Linked DNA regions of Neurospora crassa OR74A. The protein of the gene in region 1 purifies or fractionates together with the protein of each later gene. This does not show direct contact. Links are inferred from orthologs where the notes say so. Each region holds a gene or a part of one and is shown in the gene's direction. Other genes may lie near its edges.

Region 1 (4,148 bases):
GCCGACCGCCATTGACGACCTGGCCTGGAAGCTATACAACTACACCTTCGATGCGTCGAACCAGTTCCATGATAATGGTGTGCAACCGGCCATTATTTCCATCGGCAATGAGATCACCGGCGGTCTGCTTTGGCCGACGGGAGGCACTTCTTCGTGGTATAACATCGCGCGCTTGCTGCACTCAGCGTCTGCCGGTATTAGAGACTCGAGGCTGAACCCCAAGCCCAAAATCATGATCCATCTTGACAACGGATGGTAGGTCCCCTTGCTGTTTAAAACCGGATCCTGTATAGAGCTAACATCTGGCCAACCACCACAGGAACTGGGACACCCAGAACTGGTGGTATACAAATGTGTTGAAGCAAGGGCCTTTGGTGTCTTCCGACTTTGACATGATGGGGGTCTCGTTCTATCCCTTTTACACGCCCTCGGCGACTCTGTCGTCCTTGAAGTCAAGCTTGACAAACATGGCGAACAGATGGGGCAAAGAGCTCGTCGTTGCTGAGACCGACTGGCCAAGCTCATGCCCAAACCCGGCATATGCGTTTCCGTCAGACGCCAAGAACATCCCCTTCAACGCCGCCGGCCAGTCGCAGTGGATCAAGGCCGTGGCAAACGTGGTAGCTTCTGTGCCCAAGGGCAAGGGACTGTTCTATTGGGAACCCGCTTGGATTCACAATGCCAACTTGGGCTCATCGTGTGCGAGTAACAGTATGTTCTCGAACTCGGGGCAGGCCTTGTCCAGTCTGTCAGTGTTCCACAACATCTGAAGAGGAGCGGCTGAGGATGAGAAAGGATATGTAGAGGGGAATTCAGGTCCTGCGGATGTCCAGACTAGGGTGGTAGATAAGATAAGAAGCACAATGTGACCTTGGTACATAGTTGCCTGCCTCCAAAAACACCAATTGTGAAAAGATGACGAGAGGCAATGCGTGACCGGCGAACTGCTGGCATGCTTGATGCTTAAATATGTGTCAGGCCAATGCTGTGAATAAACTTGGTGCTCGGACTTTTGACCAAAAATAGCGAGGAAATTTGGGAAATGACAGAATGTAGTCATCCGGTGGTTGGCTTCGTACCGGGATGACACAGCGGGAATGAATGAGGTGATGATGCTTCATCCGTCCAGTCGCGACGAAGACCGCGTTACGTATGGTGATCGGGTGTGTACTAAAGCAAGTACCGTGATGGCCAGTGACTATCAAGAACCTGGTGCGCCACAGGTTGGCTCATGCCGGATTCACAGCAAAAACCTTGGTTGTCCAGCCACATCCATGGCCTCAGCCACAACACAGCTCAAGCGCGCTGGGGCGGGGCTGTTGAGGGCACAGAGCCCTACGAATTTTCCCCGGTGGGTCCTACGGACAGACGTGCACCGCCCACCCGCCGCCACTGGCTAGAGGTTTTGCTTGCTGTGAGGGCCGGAATCCTAAATCCACTCCCATCATCGCGACAGTCAGATTTTCGCTCTTCGATACCCCGACGAACAGCGAAATCGTGATCACCAACCACCTACCGCAAAGATGGCTGACGAATACGTACGTGCCCTTCATTTTATGATAACGATGATGCCAAACACATATCATCGTGTACTTCCCAGCGGACGGCGGCCATAATCGAATTGGTCCCCTCCCGACGACAACGACCACACACACGCACACAAAATTGCACACCCTCAGAATGAGAATGAGGAAAATGGGCAGAACGGAAGACTGACCTTTTACGCTGTAGAACGCCGAGGAGGCCGCTGAGCTCAAGAAGAAGAGAACCTTCCGCAAGTTCTCTTACAGGGGTATCGATCTCGATGCGTAGGTTCTCCCGCTTGTTCGCCATTTTGAGATTCCAAATTCCGAAGAGAGCAAGCCGGCCAGCCAGCTAGACGACCAAACCAAACCGACCGGGAATATCACGATATATTTCGAGCCAGACATGCGACGTCATTCCATTACCGATAAGAGAGAAAAGGGGAAAGCGGCACTCACTCGACATCAACAATTACTGGGGGATTGGGCAGTTTTGGATGGCTCGGTCGGCTTGCTCAAATCAGAAGGGAACATATGCTGCGCTCGCGATGCGCCATGACACATGAAAGCACATGTGCTGACAGCAACCTCTTACGTGCAGTCTCCTCGACCTTGGCTCCGATGAGCTCCGCGATGTCGTCCACGCCCGTGCCCGTCGCAGGATCAACCGTGGCCTCAAGCGCAAGCCCATGGGCTTGATCAAGAAGCTCCGCAAGGCTAAGCAGGAGGCTAAGCCCAACGAGAAGCCCGACCTCGTCAAGACCCACCTCCGTGACATGATCGTTGTCCCCGAGATGATTGGCAGCGTCATCGGTATCTACTCCGGCAAGGAGTTCAACCAGGTTGAGATCAAGCCTGAGATGGTTGGCCACTACCTCGCTGAGTTCTCTATCTCCTAGTACGTTATCCCCTGCCCCTGTCGAATAATCAGGGAGACGTGTGTGCTAACTACGGTTACAGCAAGCCCGTCAAGCACGGTCGCCCCGGTATCGGTGCTACCCACTCTTCTCGTTTCATTCCTCTCAAGTAAATGCTCTGGGAAATGGGTGGTACTTGCATTTTGTCTCAAATCATGGGTTCGGCGAAAACGGACGCGGGTTTGCTCATTTGGTCATGGCATGGACAAATGTGCCAGGGACTATCTTAGTTTTGACGAGATAGTACAAACGAGTAATGATGAGTGCAACGTTCTAGGTGATCACACACATAGCTCTTGTCCGCGGTTTCCTTGATTGAGCTTTGCTGAATGAGGAGAACAATAAAACAGAACTCCCTTGGATTATCGTATCTAGCCTGCCTTATTCATCACTTCGCAGATTGATCCTTTCTTAGTATCAAGATTTGAATATAAATCATAAACACACATATCCCCGTTACGGAACTCTAACCTACCCTCGCTGACTAGGCCGTTTCCCAGCATACCAACGTCATCGAGCATACAGGTCCTCATCTGTTAATCATCCTACCAGCCCTCTGCTATGGCCTTGCCTAGCCTCACCCATCCTGCACTACTCAACAGTCACCATCACGTCCTCAACCTCCTCCTCAACTCCCTCAAGCGACCGAACGCACCGTCCCTCACAGCACGCCGCAACAATACCCCATAAAGGTATCCCTACACGTCGCACATTCACACACGAACCCTTTTTCCTTTTTCCCATAGTCCCACGTCAGCTGCTCGCCTTCTTTGATATCCCTCCTAGCCTGCACGCAAATGTGTTTTGGTTTCACAAAGTGGGCCAGCCCCGAGGCACCAATGCGCCACTCGCAGTTTGGGCCGCGCTCGGTACGCTTGCGCGCCACGTAAGCCGAGGAGGAGGAGGAGGAGGGCGAAGTGCAGCAGTGGTTGATGAGGGAGCCAAGGAGGTAGATGCAGGCGTCCGAGTTTGTGGTTGGTGTTGGGGGTGTGCTTGTGGATATTGATGCGGAGGCTGTTGAGGATGATGTAATGGGCGATAGAGTGTTGGTGGTTATTATTGTTGGTGAGACCGGGGGTGATAATGGTGAGGGCAGATGAGGGATGTCGGTCGCGGTTGGGATAGCGGTGGTCCGTTTAACCTGGAAGGCATAATGTTTGAAGAAATCGTGACACGCCTTTTGTCGGTCTTCCTCCGTCGGGTTGGCGATGAGCATCTCGCTCACGCCAGCCACGTACGTCTCGTACTCTTCCCGCGTGATGATCGAGCCGGCAAACCGGCCGTGCACGAGGTTCCTGCCAAAGAATTTCTTCCTTGAACTGGTCACGTCGGGCTCGATAGACTCGGCAGAGAAGATGGGCTCAGCGTCTTCCCAGGGGGCAGGCGGGATACCGTTGCGGGCGGCGAGTATAGGGAAGGCGAGCGTGACGATGTCTTGGCCGCCGTCGGCTAGGGCGGCCTTGTAAGCCTGGTGTTGGCTGTGCATCAGGGAGACGTCGGCCGAGAACTTCTCGTTGAAGAGGGCCGTCATGAGAGGCGCCTCGTGGAAAATGAATTCGTCCTTAGTAAAGTCGCGGGCGGCGAAGAGGCCATAACCTACGCCGGCGCCCACCAGGCCGATGCGTACAGCCGGAGCATCCTTGGGCGCGTTACGTAGGAATCTGGCTGGCAGCTAAGTGGACGACATATCAGCAAGGTGTCTGAAAAG
Region 2 (4,188 bases), on another chromosome or scaffold:
CCAAGTTCACTCAGCCGCGGGCAGTGGTCAGGAATCCGAGCAGCTTCATTGACTATCAGGATTGCAAATTCCTGGGTCGTTACGAGCTTTACGAGACCCGGCCAGTGATGTTATGCTCTGGCGTTGCAGACTTGGCGAACACGAGAATCGGCGGTATCGCGATAGTGGACATGGAAACTATGGTTCCTTTACACGAGGTTCCTGTGACCTTGGTGTCGGAACATGGTGCTGCAATGACCAAGAATCCAATGGATGTGGCTGTCGTGGACGGTAAGATGAGGCTGTTCTTCCTGCCCGATGAAAGGAATTCGACTCTCTATGTGTACGAAGCGGTTTGAGTTAGGACATACCGAGCAACGTGGATTATTCTTCTCGGTGTTTGTTTTGGCGTGTTTTTGCACCTTTTTTTTTTTTTTTTTTTTGCCTTCGTCAGGGGTCATCAGAGCAGGTCAACCGGGCTTATTTGGAAAGTCATGACAGTAGGCCTCAGGTCTAACTTGTTCTAGATCTGCTCTGTACCGTCGTGATTCGAGAAATAGAGTCCCGCTTTGCTTCTCCTTGGTGGTTGATGACACATATTTGACGAACTAGTTTAATCCTTCATATGGAGAAGTTCTTGAAGACATGCTTTGACTTTGATCTGCTCCTGACTACAAGTTCTATGGTGAGCTATCCAGGCCTCATTTGTGTGGAGTTGTCGCGGATTTTCCTTATCATGGGGCTGTCATTAAAAGATCGAGTGCGGCCGTTGCTTGCTGTTGGCTTCCATGAGGTTGTGCAACCTTCTTCGTTGCCTTGTAATAAGGCACAATGTAAGGATGATTGATTGGAATCGCGATCATGATTTACGGCAATCCATCCTGTTTCATCGATGCGAGTGAGTACCAGAAGAATGGGATTGCGGGCGAATGGGTATACTGGTATGACGAACTGAGCTGGATCTAACTTTCAAATATCTGGTGATGTGCAGCCCATCGAAGGTGCTGGGTGATGATGTTCATCTTTGATAGGTGCTCCGGACGCGTCCCAACCGCTCAGCAGACTGCTAGCACAGTTTCGCTGAGGTCAAGCGAAGGTCAACTACTTAATGGAGCTTCCCTTCCTGCTAGCTGGCTTGGCGGCCCGCATCAGTTAGTGGGGACTTGGCCTGGACTTACATTGTTAGTATTACTCTTTCCCTGCAGCAGCAAACTGCTCGGGGACATGAAGATTACTAACAGGCGCTACTTTTAGCATGTACCCACTACGCGAGCCCTGCGTCACTATCTCCAGGTCTTGGAAGCCGATAGGCTCACGGTCGAAGGTTCTACAACCTCCTGTTCCTGCTACACACGCCCTTCGCCAAGGCATTTTATGGCCTTGTCCCTCCCTCTTCCACCAAGTGATAGCTTCCTCTCCGACTCTGTGTTGCATCTCAATTCTGTTCAATATCTGAAATCCCTACTCTTGCATTGCGAATTTGCTCTCGCGCATTCCATCAAGATCGACTTTGACAGGCGCTTTACGAGCCATCCAAAGGACCCACGAGCGCTATAGAATCGCTAACGTCTAATACGCATCTGTCATCGCTACCTCACTCTACCTTAATTACCCTACCCGTACCACTACAACAACACAGAACACGTCGGGTTAATTGTTCTCCCTTGCACCTAACGACCGCCGAGACACTTCGCGGCTCTGATCAAGCTTCGCGAAACAGCCTCTACATTTTTACTAGACTCACATACACTACACTCGTCTCTAATATTGCGTCACAAAGATGGTCAAGGAAACGAAGCTCTACGACCTGCTAGGGATCAGCCCTACGGCTACCCAGGACGAGATCAAGAAAGCCTACAGGTGAGCATATCTCCAACCCGAAACCCCACATAACTGCTCTCGCATCTCGCAGTATAAGATCGAGGGAGAGATCTCCTCTTTCCTACGCCATCCTTCTTTCACTTTGGCATTCACATCATCCTCTCTTACAGCCTTCAGTGGACCCCTGCTGACCCCTCACCAGGAAAGCCGCCCTAAAATGGCACCCCGACAAGAACAAGGACAACCCGGAGGCTGCCGAAAAATTCAAGGAGTGCTCTCAGGCGTATGAAATCCTTTCGGATCCCGAGAAACGCAAGATGTACGATCAGTTCGGCCTTGAATTTATCCTGAGAGGCGGCCCGCCCCCGACTGAGGGCGGCGCAAACCCATTTGCCGGAGCTGGTGGCATGCCCGAGGGCTTTGCTTCTTTCTTTGGAGGAGGAGGCATGCCTGGTGGCGGAGGAGGTGCGAGAACATTTTCCTATGGATTCAATTTTACCAACCCCGAGGACCTCTTCCGGGATGCTTTCCGGGATGAAAAGATGGGCGGCGGCATGGGTGGTGGCATGGGTGGTGGCATGGGCGGAATGGGTTTTGAAGACATCCTCTTTAATGCTGCGCGTGGTGGTGCAGGACAGCGCCGAACTGCGAGAAACCCCTTCGGCGGCGCCGACAACATGCGCAGCGCCCGCCAAGCAACACCCGAAGTCACGACAGTTGAACGCCCCTTACCCGTATCCCTTGAGGATCTGTTCCACGGCACGACGAAGAAAATGAAGATCAAGCGCAAGACCTTTGACGAGACCGGTAAGCGCACGACGAGCGATACCGTCTTGGAGGTACCAATCAAGCCCGGCCTCAAGAAGGGTAGCAAAATCCGGTTCAAGGGTGTTGGTGATCAAGAAGAGGGTGGCCAGCAGGATTTGGTGTTCGTCGTCGAAGAGGTACGTATAAACTCCCTTCCCTTTCTTCACGCATTGCCTTTTTGAAGGAATGGCCAGCTGACAATGTGGTTTTAGAAACCACATCCGCTTTTCACTCGGGACGGCAACGACCTAATTCATACTATCGACTTAGACCTCAAGGAGGCATTGACAGGGTGGAAGAGAACCATCACGACGATCGACGGCAAGAGCATTAACATTGAGAAGGCCGGCCCGACACAACCTGGGAGCCAAGATGTATATCCGGGCCTGGGCATGCCCATCTCGAAGCAACCAGGCCAACGGGGCAACCTCATCGTCAAGTATAATGTCAAGTTCCCCACCAGCTTGACGCCTGAACAAAAGGAAAAACTGAAGGAAATCCTCTAAATGGGGTCAAGCGATGAGTATCGGTTCTCTGTGGTAGTTCACTCTCGGATACCTTTGTCCTTCTTGTCGCCTCAACAGGAAGGGACCAGCAGTCTTGGATTGGCCTGAAGAACAGCTTTTAACGCCGGCCTTTGACAACATTCGGGAACCTGTTCGGATCCACCCCCTTGAGTGTATGTAGAATGGTGGGCGTGTTGGATTTGTTTTTTACCCGGGGGGCATTTGCTTTGGTCTCTGTCCGCCATGTGCGGTTCTTGACCATGGTCCACCATATTTGGGCGTTACTGGATTTGTTTCTTCTTTTGGTGCTCAGCTTTCATCGCGTCAGGCTCGCATTGAGATTGGTATTGTTGGTTTAGGCGGCATGTGTGGTGGGAGCTGATGATGACAATTTTCATGATAATGAGTATCCCCGACAAAAGTTCTTAGGCCCCCTGTTGTGAATGTTGGGAGAGGAAAGGGCGCTGGTCTCTCTTAGCATGTTGCGTCCTCTCAAGGTTCAACAATAGCCAGAGACACGCGAGGCCAACGTCAATGGGAATACCATAGCAGGCTTAGATATCAAATGGCTATATCTTTTATAGAAGACGGCTTGGACTACTGCATCTCGGAATGGATTCAAGGTGACAATCCTCGGTCACCACCACCAAACGACACACACGAGGAGAAAATTGATCGTGACCATAGACTACCAAGCGGGGTGGCTAGAACCGATAGATGGACATAGTTACTACAGAATGAAAATCAATGTGCCCAGAAAATCTCTCCCTTTCTCGACTTGACCTTGGAGAGAAACCATAACTTGCTGAAAGACGACGCGGAGCGACATGTGGGAATATGTGCAAGTTCCAGCTACAACAAGTTGGCCAAATAAACACACAGTCGTGTACGTATCTTAGGGGGGGAAGCCACGGCGGGGCCGAATCCAACTGCGAAGAACGATGATTCAACTTGTCCACTTTTCACTTCATCTTGGCTCTCATCACGGGATTTTTGAAAGTACAAACAAGAGGGACAACGACATTGTTAGGTCGGCCCGTCTACCTACCCAACAGCCATTCCAACACCCCGCCAA
Region 3 (2,370 bases), on another chromosome or scaffold:
TTTCATTGAGGAGATCATCAGGGACCTTGGCAAGATCACTTGCGACTTGACTCCTCAACAGGTACATACTTTCTATGAGGCTTGCGGCTACATGGTAGCTGCTCAAGGCAATAGGCACCAGCAGGAAAGGCTGCTTTCTGAGCTCATGCAGATTCCCAATATGGCGTGGCAGGAGATTATCAGGCAAGCTAGCCTCAACCCTAACATCCTCCAGGATGCGGACACCATCAAGGTTATTGGCAACATCATGAAGACCAACGTCTCGGCATGCTCATCTATTGGTACCTATTTCTTCCCTCAGATCGGCAACCTCTATAGCGACATGCTTCAGATGTATGCCGCCACCAGTCAGCTGATTTCTGAGGCTGTTGCTCGCGAGGGTGAGATTGCTACCAAGATGCCCAAGGTCCGCGGGCTCCGAACCATCAAGAAGGAAATTCTCAAGCTTATTGAGACCTATGTCGACAAGGCTGAGGACCTCCAGGCCGTGCGGGAGCAGATGGTGCCTCCTCTCTTGGACTCGGTGCTTGTTGACTACAACCGTAACGTTCCTGGTGCTCGTGACGCTGAAGTCTTGAGGGCCATGACCGCCATGATCACTAAGCTCTCGGCTTTGATGGAGGACCAGGTACCGATCATCATGGAGAATGTCTTCGAATGCACGCTGGACATGATCAACAAGAACTTCTCCGAATACCCCGAACACCGTGTCGAGTTCTTCAACCTCCTCCGCGCTATCAACCTTCACTGCTTCCCTGCGCTTTTGAAGCTTGATAACCGTCAGTTCAAGTTTGTTATTGATTCGTGCATGTGGGCTAGCAAGCACGACAACCGCGACGTTGAGACTGCGGGCCTTAACATGTGCCTGGAGCTCGTCAACAACATTGCTGAGAAGACTGACGTTCAGACCTCCAACGCTTTCTTCAACCAATTCTTTGTCAGCATTCTGCAGGATGTGTTCTTCGTTCTAACCGACCAGGACCACAAGGCTGGCTTCAAGACCCAGTCCATGTTGCTCATGCGCATGTTCTACTTTGTCCACCCCGCCGATGGCTCGCCCTCGAGGATTCAGGGCCCCATTTACCAGCCCGATCAGGCCCAGCCAGGCACTAGCAACAAGGAGTTCCTCACCATGTTCGTGGGTAATCTGCTGCAGACCGCTTTTGCCAACCTCACGCCGTAAGTTTTCTTCCCCACCTTCGGACCTTGTAAGGTACCGAGCTAACCAAAAGTGCAAAACAGTGCCCAGATTACCTCGTTTGTTGAGGGACTCTTCACCCTTAACACCCAGTACGACAAGTTCCGCCTCGCGTTGCGTGACTTCCTTATCTCCCTTAGAGAATTCGCCGGCGACAATGCCGAGCTCTACCTCCTGGAGAAGGAGCAGCAAGAGACGGCGGCCAAGGCGGCCGATATCGAGAGGAGATCCAAGGTCAGCGGCCTGCTGAAACCCAGCGAGCTCGAGGACGATGAGCTGTGACTAGTTGGAGAGGAGCTTAGGAATGAGTTTGCGCCGACTTACGAGTCGCGCCGAAATGACGTACCACCAGAGCAGCCACACATGAATGGGCTGGCTGGTGCTGGTGATATGACGAAAGGAAAAAGAAGCGGCGGCGGCAAGGATCACGACCAATTCGGTGGCGATGGATGGGAGTTCTATGGTCTGTGAAATGAAATATGGCGGCGTTCTTTTTTCTTTTTGTGTTTATGTAAGTCACCAAATCAGTCGTATTTCTTGTATGAAACCCAACCCGGCATTTTATCAAGAGCCGACCCGCTAGAATCAGCCAAATACTATTGAATGAGTAGCATGCTGCCAGCCTCTTGTATCTGTTCCTCTCACTTTTTGTGTTATTAATCATAAGAAGATTGGGTGGGTGGCAGTACGCTTGTCTGGTTCACATCCGGAGATTCAAGGGTGATACTTGTGAAGAGTAGTCAACAACACGACAATGGGGGGAAGGTGTTGCTGACCGACTTGGTTGTTCCGGCAAAGTAGCCAGTTGGTGCGTGGTGCCCTCATTGCTCGCCTTCCTGCGCACATCCTTTGCAGTGGTCTGGTGCTAAGACGCTTCAGTGTATGCCGACTACATACCGATAACAAGTTTAGACACTTGTCCAATATTCGATCGTTCTCTTGACGCACTGCAGTCCGTCCACCAGAACAGCAGGTGTCTATTTTTTTTCACACTCCAGAACTGGTCTCATCTGAAGCTAGTGATCACCTTTTACTTTGAGTTGTGTTTTCACTCACTAATTGAGTCACGGCATTGACTTTTATACCTACCTGGTGAACTGACTGGACTGGGTTTCCATCTACTTTGCATCTTCTCTTTTTCAACCCTCCTCTCCTTCCTCTTTCAGATTTAC
Region 4 (4,067 bases), on another chromosome or scaffold:
AGGGGGGATATTTGAGAGTTGAGGCTCGGAGGGAATAAAGAAGCGAATGTTCGACATGAAATGGGGCAGAGCATCAAAGCAATCTATGGAAACTCCGAGCATAAAACAAAGTTTCCGAATAGATCTCTAAGGCCCCGGGTGACCTTGACCCAAATGACTAAATATCCCCCTAGCAACCTCATCGCCATTACTGTTCCCATACCAATCATGCTGCGGCCGAGCAAAGGGGACACAGCTCATCAATCCGTCTTGAAACGAATAAGTCAGTCATCAACACCCGCTTGCGGGTTGGGCAGTCGCTGCTACTGGCATAGCAGTAAACCCGTCTTCTAGTGCGCTCGAACCATCGTCGGTACAGCTGCCCTTGCTCGTTGACCCAGCCATAGCCGGCTGGACAATCGGCGCCATTACGGCAAAAGTGATGTTCCATGTAGGAGTGGCACATGGTGAGTGAAGTTGTGAGCCCGTTTAGGCAAGGCTGGAATCCCGATGGGGGTTGCCGGAATAAAATAAAAAGGGAATTGGGAGACGCGCCTACCTATTGGATGTTGGAAACTGTGGCCCTGTGCTATTATATGCTCCGTGTTGACATCAAGTTGCGGCTCACACATGATGTAAATATGTTCATTCCTGAACTCGGGTGGTCGATGACCCATTATCCGTTTGTTGACGTGGGAGTCATCAACGACCATGAATCGAATCATCTAAACGCGTCATGTCAATGTATGCCTGCAGGATGAGGTGGAAGCAGGCCAGAAGGTCGTGATGGGTTTACTTTGATTGCAAGTCTCCATCGTTTCCATTGATGAGACGCAAATATCCAGAGGTCATATACCAGATTTGACCGTGAGTAAAATGGAATGTAAGAAGGATGATGTTAGGTTTCCCTGTAATTACCCGGGACCATGGTGTCCATTGCTAGCTTGATGACTTTGGGGATCGGCCTATGCCCCATGGGTGGAGAATTGGCTTTTGGGTGGTCGCCCCTTTTGAGCACTAACAGCTGGGTTCTGTCCAACAGGGAAGCGTACACTGGGTGCTGTTAGTGCTGTTGGCGTTGATTGAGTCACCGGCAGAAGTAGGTGTGTTCCGCACCGTGTTGAGATGTCGAAGATGCAAACCAAAGCTCAAGGAATGAATGTGGAAGTGGAATGAATCAGAATGATAGCGTCAGCATCATCGCCTAGCGTACTAACTATTAGGCGACAAGCTCACTCCAGTGGCAAACTGGTCGCCATCGGTGCAGGGGTGCAATGTCTGTACTCGGAGAGGCAAGAAAAGATGTTATGAATGCTGAAGCCTAAAGTGAGCCGAAGACTACTTAACAAGCAGCCATATCATGTGGAACGGAAACATCCAAGAACATCTTCAGTTCCATTCCAATCCGTCTTCGAGTCGAGTCGTCGTCAAGAACTCGATACTCACGGATTACCCTAACCCTGAATCTCGAAAACAGCCCTACCACTGGAAGACACCCCGCATTACGATAAGATAAGGTAAGCTCGCCCCACCAAGAAAATTGCCAGTGGACGGGAAGTGGAAGTTCGCAAGTTCCATGACGATTTCCATTTCGTCTGCCATCCTGTCTCATCACCACCTGCTGATATCGGCGGAACTGACGAAAGCAGACTCGGCAGCAAGATGGCGTCCCAACCAGAACTCACGTCGACCACAGCGGCGACCGACAACCAGAATGTCGACCTCAGCAACACCACCGCCCAGCTCAACAACCTTGCGATCGAAGAGGAAGACGACGACGACGACCTCCAAGATGTCTTTGAATCCGACGATGACCTCGACTACGAAGATGGCGGCACCGACCTGACCAAGTCGTACAACCGCCAACAACATGGCGCCGGTGCTACCAACTCTCAGCAGTCCCAAGCTCAGGCCCAGCAACAAAAACCCACAGCCAACACGTCGGCCCGCGTCGACGACCAGATCGCCGCCCTCTCCAAGTTCGCCGGAAAGATCCGCATCGACGCCTTCGACAATGCCTCCGGTCCCGCCGAGCGCAGCAAAGACAAGTCCGATCGCGCCACCTCCGAACTCGTCCTCGACCAGCGCACGCGCATGATCCTGCTGCAGATGATCAACCAGGGCTTTGTCTCCGAGATTCACGGCGCCATCAGCACGGGCAAGGAAGCCAACGTCTACGGTGCCATACTCCACCCCGAGGATGGCTCGGCCCCCATACACAAGGCCATCAAGATCTACAAGACGGCCATTCTGGTGTTCAAGGATCGCGAGAAGTACATTACTGGTGAACACCGCTTCAAGAGCGGCAGTGAAAAGGGAAACAACAGGAAGATGGTCAAGCTCTGGGCCGAAAAGGAATTCAGAAACCTGCGCCGTTTGTACACAGCCGGCATCCCCTGCCCGGAGCCCATCAAGCTCAAGCTGCACGTGCTCGTCATGAGCTTCTTGGGAGATCGCAAGGGCTGGGCCTACCCCCGTTTGCGCGACGCTCCCATCTCGGGCGACGACGCCGATGAACAATGGCGCGACCTCTACATCCAACTCCTCGGCCTCATGCGCAAGCTGTACCAAGTCTGCCGCCTCGTCCACGCCGATCTGTCGGAATACAACATCCTCTACAACAACAAGAAGCTCTACATCATTGATGTTTCCCAATCCGTCGAGCACGACCATCCCCACTCGCTCGAGTTCCTGCGTATGGATATCAAGAACGTCGGCGATTTCTTCAGGAGGAAGGGTGTCGACACGCTCTCAGACCGCACGATTTTCGATTTCATCGTCAACCCCAAGGGACCGGCCGAGGAACCCGGTATGAAGGAGACGGTCGAACAGCTGTACCAGACGAGGGTGGAGGTGGAGGATACCGCGGAGGCCAGGGCCGAGCAGGAGGTCGACAATGAGGTTTTCAGAAACCAGTACATCCCCAAGACGCTGAACGAGGTTTACGATATCGAGAAGGATGTCGCCAAGGTAAACGAGGGTCAAGGAGAGGATTTGGTATACAAGAACCTGTTGGCGGATCAAGTGGTGCACAAGACGGCGGAGGATCAGGAAGAGGAGGAGTCTGATGAGGAGGAGGAGGGCAGTGGTGACGAAGAGGAGGGTAGTGATGACGAGGATGACGAGAGCCGATTCGAAAAGGGAACACCAAGAGGCAAGAGGTTCATCGACAAGGACGAAAAGAAGCAGCACAAGGCGGCGGTTAAGGAGGCCAAGAGGGAGAAGAGGAAAGAGAAGATACCCAAGGCGATGAAGAAGAAGTTGGTGAACAGCACGTCGAGGAGGAAGCACTAAGCTGTGGTCGTCTACAAGTATCAGCTTTTCTTGGTTTCTTTCTCTTGTCTTGTTTGCTAATGGGCTCGGGTATGGCTTCTATGGCGCTAAAAGAATAATGGATCATGTCATCTTCCAGCCTGCGTATCCTGCTTTGATGCGTTTGGCGTTTCTCTCTCATACCTCACCCCATCCCGTTTGATCTGGCTACACTTTTGGCCATCATCCCTTGCGACACAGACGCAGCAAGTAAAGCAACCGGATGATGAAAGCAGTAAAGCCTGCCTGAGATTGTCGTCTCCTCAAACGAGCTTGTAATGGTTTTGCCTGTTTTCAGGGCGAAGCCTCCTGCTTTCGAGTAGAGACACTTTCTCAGAAGGCAGGTCTGAGTCGCTGGCGAGCCACCTAAAGAGTGGTCAAGCCGGGCTATGACGACCAAAGAGAGCACTGACGGTCTGCTCCCATACTGGGCGCCTATTAATCCCATGGAGATTCCAGTAGTCTCCTGTTGCCTTTAATATGTACTTATAAAGAGGAAGATGCCTCTACTATACGCTCCCCATTCCCCTTTCTTTATTTCTCCTTTTTTTTATCCCCTCAGTAGATGTTTCCAGTGGTGATATATTTTGAGAGGGCCGGAGTTGCGCTGTGGCGGGAGGGACCTTTCAGGAACGTCGGAGCTTCTTACTTTCAGTGGATGAAAGTAAAAGGCTTCTTTACATATCTTTCGAGATTGACGGCCAACCTCATAGCCAACTTCAGTTTTTGCGTCAACCTGGTAAGCGTTTCTGGAAGGGGTGCGTTTACTCGTGGAT

What was found.
Region 2: the proteins of NCU00971 (region 1) and NCU03732 purify together in Saccharomyces cerevisiae (affinity purification with mass spectrometry; 3 studies listed by BioGRID). This does not show direct contact. The link is inferred for Neurospora crassa OR74A from reciprocal best matches to the Saccharomyces cerevisiae genes RPS15 and SIS1.
Region 3: the proteins of NCU00971 (region 1) and NCU01820 purify together in Saccharomyces cerevisiae (affinity purification with mass spectrometry; 3 studies listed by BioGRID). This does not show direct contact. The link is inferred for Neurospora crassa OR74A from reciprocal best matches to the Saccharomyces cerevisiae genes RPS15 and CRM1.
Region 4: the proteins of NCU00971 (region 1) and stk-52 purify together in Saccharomyces cerevisiae (affinity purification with mass spectrometry; 3 studies listed by BioGRID). This does not show direct contact. The link is inferred for Neurospora crassa OR74A from reciprocal best matches to the Saccharomyces cerevisiae genes RPS15 and RIO1.

The regions. Positions count from the first base shown.
Region 1 is NC_026501.1:6,539,520-6,543,667, forward strand, and holds NCU00971 (40S ribosomal protein S15), read left to right. Parts: upstream 1-1,337; 5' UTR 1,338-1,523; coding exon 1,524-1,538; intron 1,539-1,731; coding exon 1,732-1,808; intron 1,809-2,124; coding exon 2,125-2,421; intron 2,422-2,483; coding exon 2,484-2,553; 3' UTR 2,554-3,101; downstream 3,102-4,148. Other genes in the region: NCU00972 (arabinogalactan endo-1,4-beta-galactosidase), read left to right, coding at 1-255, 320-770; NCU00970 (hypothetical protein), read right to left, coding at 3,102-4,101. UniProt on the Saccharomyces cerevisiae protein: Component of the ribosome, a large ribonucleoprotein complex responsible for the synthesis of proteins in the cell.
Region 2 is NC_026505.1:2,238,578-2,242,765, reverse strand, and holds NCU03732 (SIS1), read left to right. Parts: upstream 1-1,324; 5' UTR 1,325-1,759; coding exon 1,760-1,839; intron 1,840-2,002; coding exon 2,003-2,744; intron 2,745-2,819; coding exon 2,820-3,113; 3' UTR 3,114-3,872; downstream 3,873-4,188. Other genes in the region: NCU03733 (hypothetical protein), read left to right, coding at 1-338. UniProt on the Saccharomyces cerevisiae protein: Required for nuclear migration during mitosis. It is required for the normal initiation of translation. Might mediate the dissociation of a specific protein complex of the translation machinery. Essential for viability.
Region 3 is NC_026502.1:2,299,461-2,301,830, forward strand, and holds the end of NCU01820 (exportin-1), read left to right. Parts: coding exon 1-1,179; intron 1,180-1,242; coding exon 1,243-1,480; 3' UTR 1,481-1,821; downstream 1,822-2,370. UniProt on the Saccharomyces cerevisiae protein: Receptor for the leucine-rich nuclear export signal (NES).
Region 4 is NC_026503.1:5,215,455-5,219,521, reverse strand, and holds stk-52 (serine/threonine-protein kinase RIO1), read left to right. Parts: upstream 1-1,250; 5' UTR 1,251-1,496; intron 1,497-1,628; 5' UTR 1,629-1,641; coding exon 1,642-3,273; 3' UTR 3,274-3,760; downstream 3,761-4,067. UniProt on the Saccharomyces cerevisiae protein: Required for the final endonucleolytic cleavage at site D converting 20S pre-rRNA into the mature 18S rRNA. Required for the final steps of cytoplasmic maturation of the 40S ribosomal subunit.